Linked DNA regions of Pelodiscus sinensis. The protein of the gene in region 1 purifies or fractionates together with the protein of each later gene. This does not show direct contact. Links are inferred from orthologs where the notes say so. Each region holds a gene or a part of one and is shown in the gene's direction. Other genes may lie near its edges.

Region 1 (7,229 bases):
TATGGAGCAAGGATAGAGAATGGGGTGGGGGCACCTTGACATCAGCACCCCTCCTCCCCCTGCCCTGCCCTGCCCTGCCCTGCCCTGCCCTGCCCAGCAAGCAGGAGGCTCCTAGGGGTAGAGGGAAGCAGCTCCGAGGCAAAGGGCCGAAGATGCGCAGCAGTGGGGGGAAGGGCACCTGAAGTGCAGGCGCTTGATAGCGTCTTGGCCAGACCAGTCAGGATGGCCCGTCAGCAGGGCAGTTAGCCGATCAGAGGAAGCCCAGACGATTGGAGTACAGAACTGCCTCTGCCCCCGCGCTCTGCAGGCCGCCCCACGAGGGTCGCCAGGTGTCCGGTTTTGAACCGGACAGTCCGGTATTTGAGCTTTCTGTCCGGGAAACAAATGAGAAAATAGCGGAGATAGAAATGTCGGGTGTTTTCTAATTCTGTAAGTTCTGTTATCAGGAGTATCAGTACGTAGCTGCGTACTGCCTGGCTGGTCAACACCCTCACACTGCGTGAGCATGTCCACCAGCCAGGCAGTAGAGAGGAGGGGGGCGGAGGCGGGATGGAATCCCCAGGGCCGGACTCGCCCGTGTGCCCCGCCAGGACCATGCGCGGGACGGGCAGCACCCCGGGATCTGTGTGCGCCTGGATCAGCCCTGCTCCCCGCTGGCTGGTTCCTCCTCCCCGCTCCGCCCCAGCCAGCCCCGCTCCCCGCCAGCTGGTTCCCCCCCCGGCCAACCCTACTCCCCCCCCAGCCAGCCCCGCTCCCCCCGACCACTTCCCGACCAGCCCAGCTTCCCGCTGGCCAATTCCTTCCCCCGATCTCCCCCAGCCAACCCCGCTCCCCCCAGCCTCCTCCTGACCAGCCCTGCTTCCCACCAGCCAGTTTCCCCCCCAGCCAGCTCCACTTCCCCCAACCCCCTCCCGGACAGCCCTGCTTCCTGCCAGTCAGTTCCCCCCTGGCCAGCTCCGCTCCCCCCAAACCTCCTCCCAGCCAGCCCTGCTTCCTGCTGGTTGGTCCCCTCTTCCCCCCCCCCCCCCAATCTCACTTGGTCAGCCCCGCTCCCCCCACCCCTCTCGCGGCCAGCCCTGCTCCCCTCCCGGCCAGTCCCCCCATTCTGAGATCATGTGTGTCCGGTATTTTTTTTGAAACCCATCTGGTAACCCTACCTGTCAGAGGTTCCAAGTTCTACCAGTAGATCCCGATCTACTGTTTGGTGACCCCTGCTCCAGAGCCTCTCCCTTTAAATAGGTTGTCCAGAAGGTGGGAAGACTTTGTTTGTTGGCCAGTCTCCTCCTCCCCCACTTTGTGGAAAAATACTAAATCGCTAATGGTCCTTGTGGGGACTCTCCTAGGGGCTGGCTCATAGAAAAAAAACCCATTTCCTTAGCAATGAGCCCTCAAGTTTCTGAAATTCCCTTAATGGCCCCTACTAAGCATGCCTACATCAGTAACACAGGGTACTACTTCCTATTGCTGATTTCCAATATGGGAATAATACATGGACACAAACACAATATACACATTTTGCGGATTATAACTTTTCCAGTGATACCGTGCAATAAGTATTTTGCATAAATCATTTTCCAATTATGCATAATTATATTCGGGGCTTGACAAGCGGCGGCGAGCCCTGCTCGCCAGCTGCACGGTTCGGCACGCTGCGCATGTGCAGACCGTGCTGTGGCGCCGTGCCGGGCTAAAATCTACTCACCACGGGCGAGTAGATTGCCCTAATTGTCGAGCCCTGATTATATTCATAAGCGTATTTCTATAAAGAATATGAACTGCACCATCACAACGCCCACTAAACAAATGGTTCCAGCCACCCTGGGAGATCAGATGGGGCTCGTCTACACTGGCCCCTTTTCCGAAAGGGGCATGCTAATTTCACAGGTCGTAATAGGGAAATCCGCGGGGGATTTAAATATCCCCCGCGGGATTTAAATAAAGATGTCCGTCGCTTTTTTCCGGCTTTTAGAAAAGCCGGAAAAGAGCGTCTACACTGGCCCCGATCCTCCGGAAAAAAAGCCCTTTTCCGGAGGATCTTATTCCTACTTTGAAATAGGAATAAGATCCTCCGGAAAAGGGCTTTTTTTCCGGAGGATCGGGGCCAGTGTAGATGCTCTTTTCCGGCTTTTCTAAAAGCCGGAAAAAAGCGGCGGACATCTTTATTTAAATGCCGCGGGGGATATTTAAATCCCCCGCGGATTTCCCTATTACGACCTGTGAAATTAGCATGCCCCTTTCGGAAAAGGGGCCAGTGTAGACGTAGCCGTGAGGTTTGGAATCACAGAAATCTAGGTGATTTCCCAGATAATGTTCTGCGCACCCTCCAGGGTTAAACAGTGCACGTGGCCACTTGGGTTATGTCTACACAGCAGTGTTATTTCAGAATAACTGACGTCACTAGTAAATAAGAAAGAGCGTGTCTACACGACAAGCCTTTATTTCAAAATAATGTCTTTAGGAAAAACTATTTCACTAGGAGGGTGGTGAAGCACTGTAATGAGTTACCTAGGGAAATAGTGGAGTCTCCATCCCTAGAGGTTTTTAAGTCTCGGCTTGACAAAGTCCTGGCCGGGTTGATTTAGTTGGGATTGGTCCTGCCTAGAGCAGGGGGCTGGACTTGACCTTCTGAGGTCTCTTCCAGTTCTATGGTTCTATGATATGATTCTATGATATGATAGAAGATTTCTTACTCTGACTCGCGGTAACCCTCATTTCACGAGGAGAAAGGAGTGCTCTTCCTTGGACTTCCTGCAATGTAGACAGCGCCTAAAGCTGAGTTGATGTAGCTGAAGTTGCACCGCTTAATTCGACTTTAGCCCTGCTGTGTAGATGTGCCCTTGGAGGGCATGGTCACGCTGCGTCCCTTGGGCAGTGCTTCCTGTAGTGCCTACTTTCCACGACTTCCCCCAGCTGTGCCTGGTGACACCTTGGGGAGATCAGGGAAGTTCTGCAGATCAGGGTTCTGGTCACACAGGTGTAACCCACACACCTACTGGATATGATTCACTGTCCCATGTACTGGCACTGAGACCACTTACAGAGAGAGAATGAGTTTGCTCTCCACAGGGGTGGGCAATAAAATGGCAGCCCAGCGGGCTCTGCCGCTATGTTTATTTGCGCCTCCACAGGTGTTGGGTAATCACAGCTCTTGCTGGGTGCGAATTGCCGTTGGTGGCCAATGGGAGCGGCACGGACCAGGACACCGTTTGCCCCACTTGCATTGGCCGTCAATGGCAATTCGCAGCCAAAAGCTGCAATCCTCCAATACCTGTGGAGGTGCAGGCAAACATAGCGGCAGCGGCCCACCAGGGTCTAACCCTGTGGATCGGATCTGGCTTATGGGGTGTCATTTCTCTATCATGCTCTACAGCCTTAGCTCAGAGCAAGCTGCTGTTATAGTTTAAGCTGCAGAAGCTCCTGCACTAAGCTGCAGAGATCCCAGGTTCGGTTCTGCCCTTTGGTGTTATGTTTACAGTTTAGTCCGTGCTCGCCTCTGCCCAGCTAGCATTGCAGCCAGACATCTTTGTCCCAGGCAGCACCTGGGCTGTCAGTACAGGGGCTGACAGCGCTCCCAGGCCTGCAGGCTTTTGCATGGGCCTGAAGGGAGGACCCCTGAGCCCGTGCAGTGCAGGGGATACTGGAGAGGCAGGCACCCGCTCCCCAGCATCTGCCCCAAAGGCTGTGTTTAATAATGCATTGCCAGTCCAATGCAAGTGAGCAGGCCAGATGCAATGGCAGGGATCCTAGTGCCCCAAGGAGGTAGGGTCTGGGTGGGCAGGCCTGACATACTGCACAGCCCAGCCGGGAATAACAGTTGAATTTTGCTCAGTCTGGCCAGAGCTTCCCCGAAAGCTCCCTGCCGGGGGCTCGAACCTGCCAACCTCAAGTCTCCAGAAGCCCTATTGGTTAGCGTTCCCCACCAATGCGCATGCTCACACTCCTGGCCGTCTTGGGCTGACGGCCGCTCGTGAGAGCCGAATCCTAAAGGGATGGTTAGGTTTTCTGTCCGCCGACGCAGCTGAGTTTACCCACCCCCCCCAACCGACGATCCCTTTAAGCGCCTCAACGAAGAGCGGAAAGGAATGACATGTGTGCGGCGCCGGAGCGTACGTGTTTGCGTCACCGCGTGCGGAGCGTGACACGTCGGCGGCGGTGGCCATTGGAGCCGGATATTCCAAGATGGTGGCGATTGTTGCTGCTGCGGCTCCTGTGAGGGGGGGAGGCGCCTGCTGCTGACCGGGCCTCGCCTGCTGCGCGCGCCCCAGGGGCCCGCCGGGATCCGCCAGGTGAGCGGCGCTTGGGCGGGCACCGGTTGGGGAAGCTCTTGGGGGGGAGAGTCAGAGAACGGGGGGGGCGAGGGAAGCTGGCGGGGACCGAGAGCGGGGGGGCGAGGGAAGCTGGGGGGGAGGGACAGAGAGTGGGGGGGGCGAGGGAAGCTTGGGGGGGAGGGACAGAGAGCGGGGGGGCGAGGGAAGCTGGGGGGGAGGGACAGAGAGCGGGGGGCGAGGGAAGCTGGGGGGGAGGGACAGAGAGTGGGGGGGCGAGGGAAGCTGGGGGGGAGGGACAGAGAGCGGGGGGCGAGGGAAGCTGGGGGGGAGGGACAGAGAGCGGGGGGCGAGGGAAGCTGGGGGGGAGGGACAGAGAGTGGGGGGGGCGAGGGAAGCTTGGGGGGAGGGACAGAGAGCGGGGGGCGAGGGAAGCTGGGGGGGAGGGACAGAGAGCGGGGGGCGAGGGAAGCTTGGGGGGAGGGACAGAGAGCGGGGGGCGAGGGAAGCTGGGGGGGAGGGACAGAGAGTGGGGGGGCGAGGGAAGCTGGGGGGGAGGGACAGAGAGCGGGGGGCGAGGGAAGCTGGGGGGGAGGGACAGAGAGTGGGGGGGGCGAGGGAAGCTGGGGGGGAGGGACAGAGAGTGGGGGGGGCGAGGGAAGCTGGGGGGAGGGACAGAGAGCGGGGGGCGAGGGAAGCTGGGGGGGAGGGACAGAGAGCGGGGGCGAGGGAAGCTGGGGGGGAGGGACAGAGAGCGGGGGGCGCGAGGGAAGCTGGGGGGGAGGGACAGAGAGTGGGGGGGCGAGGGAAGCTGGGGGGAGGGGCAGAGAGGGGGGCGAGGGAAGCTGGGGGGGAGGGGCAGAGAGCGGGGGGGCGAGGGAAGCTGGGGGGAGGGGCAGAGAGCGGGGGGGCGAGGGAAGCTGGGGGGTGGAGAGGAAGTGAAGGTTCGTAGTAGAGTCTAGGTGTGGTTTAGGGGGCCATGGAAAATGGAAGCAGCTTTGGTCTAGGAGATGTAGGGCCATGAAGTGAGGACATTGGGGTTTTAAGGGTGCCGCCTGACTTGTTGAGGCCTCTGGCGTTAAGAGATGCAGATGTTGCATGGGAGAAGTCTGGAAGTAATTTGTTTAGCTATCTTGAGGGGGGCGTATTCTTGGGAATGTGGGTACAGGGGTGCTGGGCTGTGGGTGTAAAATGTGGAGGCAACACCTCACATTGAGAGACAGGAATGCTTTGTGGGTAAGGTGCTACTTTAGGAGACCTTGGGCAAATCACTTAGATGCTCTGCCTCAGTTCTCTACCTGTAAAATAGAGATCTGAGCACTTCCCTATCAAGCAGGGATTTATATGTAAAGATGTTAAAATGCCTTTAACTTTCAGCAGTTACACATTTACACGCAAAGCGGCTACCTAGGAGTCTGTGCTGAGAGGCAACTTTTAAGCCAGCTCTCTGCGAGTGCCAGCTCTCGCTTGCTCTCCATCAGCACGCTGCTGCATCTGATACAGATGCAGCAACACAGAGAGAGGAAGGGAAGACAACTCCACAGGAGTCGGAATCTGTGAGGAAACGTTGCATGCTGGCAATGTGTGTACCGTTTTCTGCCTGCCTCTTTCCCTCCGGTGCTGCAGCCTCTATATCAGCAGTGGCTGGTGGGGCTTGCTTGTAACCATGCATGTTAACCAATAAGCTCAAGCCATTGATTAACCATGTAAATGCTTACACTTTCACATCCTTAGCTAAAGGTTAAATAAGTTAAAGATTGCAAGGCACTTTGGCTACGTCTAGACTACATGCCTCTGGCGACAGAGGCATGTAGATGAGGCTACCAGGCGTAGGAAAATGAAGCGGCGATTTAAATAATCGCCGCTTCATTTAAATTTACATGGCTGCCGTGCTGAGCCGATCAGCTGTTTGTCGGCTCAGCGCGGTAGTCTGGGATGAGGTTTACCTGGGTGGTCGACAAATGCCTTTGATGTCGACACCCGCGCATCCAGACTACCGCGCTGAGCTGACAAACAGCTGATCGGCTCAGCGCGGCAGCCATGTAAATTTAAATGAAGTGGCGATTATTTAAATCGCCGCTTCATTTTCCTATGCCTGGTAGCCTCATCTACACGCCTCTGTCGCCAGAGGCATGTAGTCTAGACGTAGCCTTACTGAGTGATGGGTGTCGAGTCAGTATGCTGTATAGTCATTAGGGGTGGAAGGTCCAGTACAGGGTACTTCAGGGACTGACTGCCTACAATTACTCCAACTTCTCATATATAGTCATATTGGTTCCCATATCATGGTACCCAAACTAGACAATTCTGGTTTTCCTTAGGATGCCTTTGTGTCCTGTAAGCAATAGAAACAGTTGTAGAAAAGGGATTTCTTGGAAATCCTGAAATTGGAATGGGGTCCCTGATATGACATTTCATTATATTGTGACATGGTGAGGCTCAGATGTTACAATGTATAGGTTTATACAGTCAGATGAATTTGCAAAGATGGCAGTTGAAGATTCTGTCCCCCCACCTATTGGATTGTGTTGAGGCAACCCAAGCTCCACAGTAGGTGTTTGTGTGTATAAGTTGCAGGTCTTTCTTGCAGGTAGATGTGGTGAATTAAGGCTATTTTAAAAGTGTCATACAGTGTAAATGCCTTTGTTTTTAAGAAGACATGTAAAGTGATCTCTTGAAAATCCGATTCTTCCTTTTTTCAGACTTTTGCACCTTCTTAGCCCTGTGCATAATTGAATAAGAAACTGTGAGTACCAGCTGATAATGGCTGAGTATTGCCTGAAAAAGTTGAGAACCACTGACCTAATTAACTAGTTACTTCCTTTCCAAACTGGTGGAAAGGTTGATGTTGCTGTTGTCCGAGGGCTGCATATTCAGGTCTATGTTCTTGATCCTAGGAGCATCAGAGCGATATTTGCATCTATGTGCAAGCTTGTAGGACGTTTTTAGATTTAATTACTCTTG
Region 2 (7,985 bases), on another chromosome or scaffold:
AAGAAGGGAAGTTCAAAAAAAAAAAAAAAAGTTTTTTTCCCGACATTTGGCTCAGTGTAGACAGGCCAAATGTCAGAAAAGCCTCTTCTGGAAAAAGATACGCAAATTGAGAACTGCAATTTGTGTATCTTTTTCCACTTCTTTTTTTAGAAAGAACTGCATAGTCTAGGCACAGCCAGAGTAACTGATAAAATCTAACAGCAGGGTTTTGCAATGTCCTTTAAGCAAAGATGGGGCAATATTCATGTAAAGGATTTGGAGAGGTTACAGCTACAGGCAAGTCACCCAAGGATTTTCAGGTGCATCACGTAATGCCATAGCACCCCAACTATTACATTAGATTTAGCTGAGGGTATTTTACTGTGGCTTTCCGTTCCCACTGTTAAATGTCTAGTTCTTCAACAGCAGATAAGCCCTCCAGTACCCCACCACATTCTCAATCCCTTACATATGGTGCTAATCTTGTCAGAAGGATTCTACTCACACTGACGGCAGGGGGCAATTTTGCCATTGAGTTCAAGTGGAGCAGCTCTGGGATCATTAGCTGAAATGGTCATGATCCCATTAGACTGCAAAACTGGAAACTCAGTGCCTTACCCCCTGTACTGTACCTCATGGCAGCAGCAGCCCCAGAGCTGTGTCCAATAAGGATAGTCTGCCCATCGCAGTGCAGTTCTGATTCCATGAATGGCAGCCAGATGTTCTCTCGAGCTGTAACTGATTTGCAGAGAAGAGATTCAATTGCTTTGCCTTTCCTTATCCACCCCCCTCCTCCCCACGCCCAGCTAGCATGCTCTGCATACAGCTCTCTGGGGGATTTTCTCTTTATTTAATTCTTAGTGAGTTTAGTGCTTGCAGAAGGGGTAAGGTTAGCAGCTATGAAGACCAAAGGCCTCTGTTTAGCCCCACTATGAGTTAAACATACACTGCAGCTGTGCCAGTTCCAACCTTGCTACCCCACCTAAAGTAACTCCACATGGACCTGGAGATGTCAGGTTTAAGGGTCAGTGTGAGGTTTAACCTTCCAAGGCTCAGTCTTTGGCCTCTCGAAAACCAGTTCTAATGGGGATGGTGTGGTGGACACCAGTCTGCTGCAAACTGAGCCGAGACAGACACTATTTGTCTAGAACTACTGGCAGCAGTAGCAACCTGGAGTGTGGCCTTCATAAATACTTCCCTGCTAAGCTACCCAGCTCATCCAGGGCCTGGTACAATCTCTGGGGCTTGCAGGACGCAGTCAAGCATGTACTGTCTGCACACGAGCAATGTTCTGCATCACAGTATGTGCACATAAAACATTCAGGAGCATCCAAACCCTCTCCCCAGCAAAGCATTTCAGCAGGCTGTGCGTCTCCCAGGGCACATCTACACAGCAGGCCTTAACTCAGAATAACCTACGCAAATTAAGCCACGTCAACTGCGTAGCTTATTTCAAAATAGCTTATTTCAAAATAGAGAGGATTTACACAGCGCTTATTTCAAAATAGAGCACTCTTCCTTTTGACTTCCCTAACTCCTTATACAATGAGGGTTACAGGAGTTGGAGTAAGAAGTCTTCCAGCTTTACAGTATTTTGAAATTATTTCGAAATAACTACCTGCTGTGTAGATGCGGACTAATTAAGTTATTTTAGTCCGTGTCTACGCAGCAGACAGTTATTTTGAAATAATGTTGCAGTGCAAACATATCCCATTTGGATTGGGGTGCGGGAACTCCCCCGGAATGAAGACAGCCACTGAGATAAAGCAGGCTCATATTCGTTTTCTGGAAATATTGCCAGTGGGATAATGCAAAATACAGGGAGAAGGTAAAACAGACTTACCTGGGTCAGGCATATTTCGAAGTAAACACTGGAAACCAGGTATCTGTGTGGAGAAGACCAATGATTGCATTATCAAAGGTTGTGCAGTCCCTTGGCAAGCAAACTGTTGCAGTGGTTACACTTGCTTTCCTCCAATGGGTCTTCAGGGTTATGTAGATGGGTCTTGCTACAGTGTTAGGTTGAAAGGTTAAATATTTGGGGTGCACTGGGCAGGGGGGAGGGAGTGAGTCCCAGGCACATGGAGAAGATTGAGGGTTTACTTGGTGCTTTGAAAATGTAAAGCACTGCAACTATATTGCACCAGGAGTTGAAAAAGACTGCTGATTTTACAAATATTTCTTGTTTGAATTACCAGCAATCTCTCCCACCCACTCCCAGGGGTCACCAATCACTGCACTCTAGTGTTTGCAAATCAGTCATCCCCTATTTCTGTGTTTTCTCCTCCATGTGATGTCCAGTGGCTGAACTTCATAACAGAAATACCCAAGTGGGAGTATAGAAAACCAAGTGAGAGTCTCTACAGAAAGCACTATCCACTGCAGCCTTCTTCATGCACCCTTCAAATCAGTGCTAGAGAGCTGTGAACAAGCCAGGAGGAGGAGGGGAGAATGTCGCATGACAAAGACAAGAATCACGGAAAAAGTTGCTTACATCTAATGCTGAACAAGCTTTCTTAGCACAAGAAAAACAAGAGTCTCCCTAAAGAGGCTCCCCCTCTCTGCTTCACTGCAGATGTTCTGGCAGGACCCTTCCGCAGCCCCCTCCTGCTTGCCAGCTGTGGATTTAAAGAAAGGGAAGGTATATGCTAAACCACACAAGAGGGAAGCAGAGGTTGGGGGCAGACAACTTCATTAGAAAAAGAAGCCAGGTGCCTGCCTGACTTAGGGTGTTCCAAATAGCTGGTGAGGTAGGCAGGAGCGTAAATAAACAGGTCAGATCAAACCTTTTGCCACTGCCATGTCTTACCTGCCCTAGTCTTTTCCATGCCCATCCGTACCAGTTGCATTTCTCTACATTGCTTGCCCCATTCCCAGGCACTATAACAGCTTTCATGGGAGGAAGCTGCACCTGGGACATGGCTCTGCAGCAGGAGGAGCGGAAACACAGTTTCAAGCCAAGCGGTGTTGGGTTGGCTGGGAGTGGAGGCAGAAAGGAGGCATCTTGGGAGTTGTAGTTTTCTTGGTAGAAAATGTCTCAGTGGGTAGCTGTGTTAGTCGGTAACGTTAAAAACAACAAGTAGTGCTGTGGCACCCTAGATCAGTGGTCCCCAATGTGGTGCCCGTGGGCACCATGGCGCCTGCTGGGCCATTTATGTGCTCCCGCTAAACAATTTGGGCTGGCCCCGCCCCGGGCACATGGCACATGTGCTGTGCCGGCCCCGGGCGCGTGGCGCATGGGTGGCCCCTGTCCCGGGGCCACGGCACATGTCGGTGCCGGCCCCGGGCTCGCAGTGCATGTGCGGCCCCGCCCCAGGGTGCACTGCCTGTGCATGGCCCCGCCCCCGGGCGCCCGGCAGCCCCAAAAGGTTGGGGACCACTGTCCTAGAGACTAACAAGAATGTAGTATCCTGAGCTTTGGTGGGCGAAACCCACTTCTTAAGATGATGATAGGAAATGATTCACAGCATGGTCCTTGCTGTCATTTGTTCCTCTCTGAGTCTAGAAGCCCCCAAAAAACAAGTGAATAAGAGACAAAAGCAACACATCCGAGACCTGAAAATCACAATACAAGCTAGATAGCGTCTTACCCACTACTTGTTAATTCTGTTGGCAGTGTTGTAGCCATGTTAGTCCCGGGATATTAAAGAAATAAGGTGCTGAGGTAACATCTTTCATTGCAACAACCTCTGTTGGGCAGAGAGACAAACTTTCAAGATCTACAGAGCTTTTCTTCCTGTTCATTTTGCTATTGGCATCTTTTTGTTGGGTGTTTGTACAGTGTCTAGCACTAGGTCCTGGTCAGTGATTGGGGCTCCACAGACAGGAACACAATGCAAATTACTATTAACTGTTACTTTGAGTAGATAATATTATCATGAGGGCCCTGAGACTAGAGGAACTTTGCATCCCCTGCTGCTTATTAGGGGGAAGAGATCTGTGCCCCTGCCTGCCCCCTTATGCACACCTCATCCAGCTGTGAGTTTTATCAGTTCTTAGCTAATGGAGAACACCTTATCAAGAGATGGCATCTGGTTTTACCAGCCTTAGCCTTTCATACACAAACAATAGGGGTGTTATTTAATGGCTGCGCAGCCGATTAACTATTTATCTCTAAGACAGTGAAAAATTCCCCTCGTCCATCAAGTCTTGAGTCTTCAAAACTGGATTCATCTTCTACTGACACTAGATGTGAGCTTGGCCCTTGGTCTTCCCGCAAACACCTACCATCACTGCGTGTGTTTTGTTGAATCTCACTTCTCCATCGTTTCATAGCCACCTCTGTCATGCTCCAAGCATCTATTGACGTGGTGGCCGAATATTTATTCCACCCCTCAGGTTTCCCATTTCTCTGCGTTCGTGGGTTTGTGCTGACTCTTTTTGGGGGCACCCCGGGGCCGCGTGGGCCCCCTGATCAGTGTGAGGACCTAGGAGCGGTTTGTGCGGTGCCAATGTGGATGCCCTGTGAGGATGCTTTGTTACAAGGCCTGGGGGACGCACGCTTTGATGCCAGACAAGGGCCTTTGAAGGTGCCGCTTGTTTTAACAGCGCCCGGCAAAGGAGGCGCGTCCCAGGACTGAGGTGCCTGTTGTGTGACTGCACTCTGGGGGGAGGCTGGTGTGTGTGTGCTGGGGGCGGGGAGGTGTGCACTGTTGCCAGGTGTTCCCCCCCCCTCAGGGAGCACAGGGCAGCTCCACCCCCACGCCCCTGCAGCCTCCTAGCAGGGCTGGCTGGAGGGCGGGGCCTGTCTGCATCAGCTGCCAGCGCCCGTGGAAGGGCGAGTCAGCGCAAACCCCGCAAGGGGCGGGGCGTGGAGCCCGCCCGCCATCGTGGCTGAGGGCGGAAGCCCGTATGGAGGCGCGGGTGCCCTTAGCCATCATGGCGACCGCCCTTGGGCGCCTGGGTGCCGCGCGCAGGCGCCGCCATGTTGGGGAAGGGCACGGTCGCGGCCGAGGCGCCCGCGCCGCCATCTCGCTTGCGGGCAGCCCCGCCGCTGAGCTGGCCTTTCCGGCGCGGGCGCTGCCGGGACACGGATCGTCGGGCGCTGCGAAGCGGAGCCGGAGGGGGCTTGTGGCGCCGCCAGCAGGTGGGTCTGGCGGGCGGGGTCCCCCGGGCCAGAAGGGGGGGGTCTGCCAGTGGGGGATGAGGGGGGGGGGTCTCTGGCCAGAAGGGGGGGTCTCTGGCCAGAAGGGGGGGTCTGCCAGTGGGGGATGAGGGGGGGGTCTCTCTGGCCAGAAGGGGGGGTCTGCCAGTGGGGGATGAGCTGAGGGGGGGGTCCCCCTGGCCAGAAGAGGGGGGTGTCTGCCAGTGGGGGATGAGGTGGGGGGGTCTCTCTGGCCAGAAGGGGGGGTCTGCCAGTGGGGGATGAGGGGGGGTCCCCCTGGCCAGAAGAGGGGGTTTGCCAGTGGGGGATGAGGGGGGGTCCCCCTGGCCAGAAGGGGGGGGTCTGCCAGTGGGGGATGAGGGGGGGGTCCCCCTGGCCAGAAGAGGGGGTCTGCCAGTGGGGGATGAGGGGGGGTCCCCCTGGCCAGAAGGGGGGGGGTGTCTGCCAGTGGGGGATGGGGGGGTCCCCCTGGCCAGAAGAAGGGGGGTCTGCCAGTGGGGGATGAGCTGAGGGGGGGGTCCCCCTGGCCAGAAGGGGGGGGTCTGCCAGTGGGGGATGAGGTGGGGGGGTCCCCCTGGCCAGAAGAAGTGGGGGATGAGCTGAGGGGGGGGGGTCTCTCTGGCCAGAAGGGGGGGTCTGCCAGTGGGGGATGAGCTGAGGGGGGGGGTGTCTCTGGCCAGAAGGGGGGGTCTGCCAGTGGGGGATGAGCTGAGGGGGGTCCCCCTGGCCAGAAGGGGGAGTCCGTCGGGGGGATGGGGTGAGGGGATCTCCTGGTGAGAAGAGGGGCTCCTCCCCATTGAAGGTGGGGGTCACTTTCCCCAGGCCACACGAGGAGGGGAAAGGACCCTGCTGTTGATGTCGGGGTGCTCTTCTCCAGGGTCTGTAGCCGAGCGGGGCCGCTACCTGTCCAGGTTCCCCAGTGTTGTCTGGTTTTGGGGGTCACTGTCCTGGGAGTCTCTCTGGGTGTTTGGTGGGCGCTGCCAGCTGCCCAGCGTGGTGAGGAAAGATCATCCTGAATATTGTGGGGGTTTTGTATCTCGAAGGATGTGGCAACCTGAGCGCTCAGAGAATGGGGTGAGGATTCCCCAGGCCACTGTTCTGGGCAGTGAAAGAGGGACGAGGACCCCCCCCATCACTGATTCCTCCATTCTGGGTGGGGTTGGTGTGTGAGGCCACCATGTTGCTATTGGAGGGGGTGGAGGAGTTTGGCATTGGTGTGAGGGTTCCCATATCACTGGTCAAAGTGTGGAGCGGTGTTATATTTTTTGTGTAGTTTTTTTGGTAAATCTTGACTCGCTTTCACAGAGGAAACAGCTACAATTTCTCCTTTTTTAAAAACTGTTTGCCCTGATCATCTCGCTCTCAAGGTAACACCTACAGCCTAACAAACATCACAGAAATGTTCTGAGAACATCTCGGATACAGGCCACATTTAAAACTAAAGTGGCAAGGCGTTCCTTCACTAAACCAGGATAAGCTAACTGTTACGTCAGGAGTAGCCAATTCTGTCAGGTCCTGTTTTGCGATGCTTCCCGTTTGACTCACAGGCTCTGCTCTGCACAGAAACCCTGAGGAAGGAGAGTATCGAGGGAGGATGTGGGAGGGAGCTCTGAACCTGAGGGATGGGGGTTTGAGCAATGAGTGCTGTTTAGTGGGTTTGAGGATGTCCATGCATGCTGTAGGTGCCGCACCAGATAACAATATCAGTTAGTGTTTGCAGCCTATGTTGCGGACAAGTTCAAACAGCTCTGGACAGGGGTGCTGGCACAATTTCTATAGGGTCCTTTGAACCAAACTGTAAATCCTGAATATAATGGAAACTGCTTCAAGTCAGCAGCACCAGCGTCTATGGCTCTGGACCAAACTTTCTGCCTCAGCAAAAGCCGAATTAGTTCTCAGGAGAAAGGGGGGCATGCAAATGTGTCTTTGTCTCTCTCTGTCTCTGGAATTTAGTCCTGGAAGCTTCTTAGAGTTGTGAAGATGTGGGAGTAGCACAGACAAATCACTGTAGATCAGATCTATTTCTTTGCCAACTGGACACAACCATTGGGGTGGGTTATGGACCGTGTTGAGAGCTAATTGTAAATGTTTCCTTTCTGTGGGACACAGTGCTAGTTTTGCATAAAAAAGCATCTGCTGCTCCGCCCTCAACTCAAAAAGACACCTGATGCTGACTATTTCTTACATATCTTTCTCCTATGTCTGATGAAGTGGGTTATGCCCTAATCAATATGTTAGTCTCTAAGATGCCACAGGATTCCTCATTGTGTCTTACATGGTTAACGCTCTGAGGAAGAGTGTCTATAGCAGTGGTTTTCATTTGCAGAACCCTAAAAAATGTCAAGTGGATATGGACCCCTTTGGAAACTCATAATCTGCAAAACCCTAGGAGTCTGTGTTGACAGGTTGAAAACCACTGAAATAGAGGATAGTCATGAAACAGTAGCAGTACGTGCGTTCTTCAGTCTCTTTGACCTCCATCAGGTCTGTTTTGCATTGGGTGTAACATAGAAACTGCATTAGTGGTCTTGGTTGATTGTCTCCTGTTGGTGGATAGTGATTAAGTCAAATTCTTTTTGCTCTCTAACTATCCTCAATGCCATTGACAAATCACGTGAACATGGATTCTAACAGAGACTGATATGGTCTTGCCTTGAGCACTTCTGTGTTTTCTTTTCTGAGAGGTCTCAAGGATTTTGGGTAGTTTGTGTCCCGAATATGATCTCGTGTGGGGTTCCCAGGGTTTCATCTTGTCATGTCTGGTTCAGTGTGTATGTGGTGCTGCTACAGCAGCGAGGGGCAACCTAGGCTCATGAGTGACCCTCCTTCATCTCTGAGGGCTGCAGGATTGTTGTAACCAAAATGGTTTCCCGGGATAGGGTAGTTTTGCTAACTGCACTTA

What was found. Proteins that work in one complex are often made in the same cells at the same time.
Region 2: the proteins of SEC16A (region 1) and SEC23B purify together in Homo sapiens (affinity purification with mass spectrometry; 3 studies listed by BioGRID and IntAct, with this or other methods). This does not show direct contact. The link is inferred for Pelodiscus sinensis from reciprocal best matches to the Homo sapiens genes SEC16A and SEC23B.

The regions. Positions count from the first base shown.
Region 1 is NC_134732.1:20,375,241-20,382,469, forward strand, and holds the start of SEC16A (protein transport protein Sec16A), read left to right. Parts: upstream 1-4,126; 5' UTR 4,127-4,286; intron 4,287-7,229. UniProt on the Homo sapiens protein: Acts as a molecular scaffold that plays a key role in the organization of the endoplasmic reticulum exit sites (ERES), also known as transitional endoplasmic reticulum (tER).
Region 2 is NC_134713.1:193,975,504-193,983,488, forward strand, and holds the start of SEC23B (protein transport protein Sec23B), read left to right. Parts: upstream 1-4,908; 5' UTR 4,909-5,065; intron 5,066-7,985. Other genes in the region: serine hydrolase RBBP9, read right to left, coding at 612-717, 1,823-1,865, 2,789-2,899. UniProt on the Homo sapiens protein: Component of the coat protein complex II (COPII) which promotes the formation of transport vesicles from the endoplasmic reticulum (ER).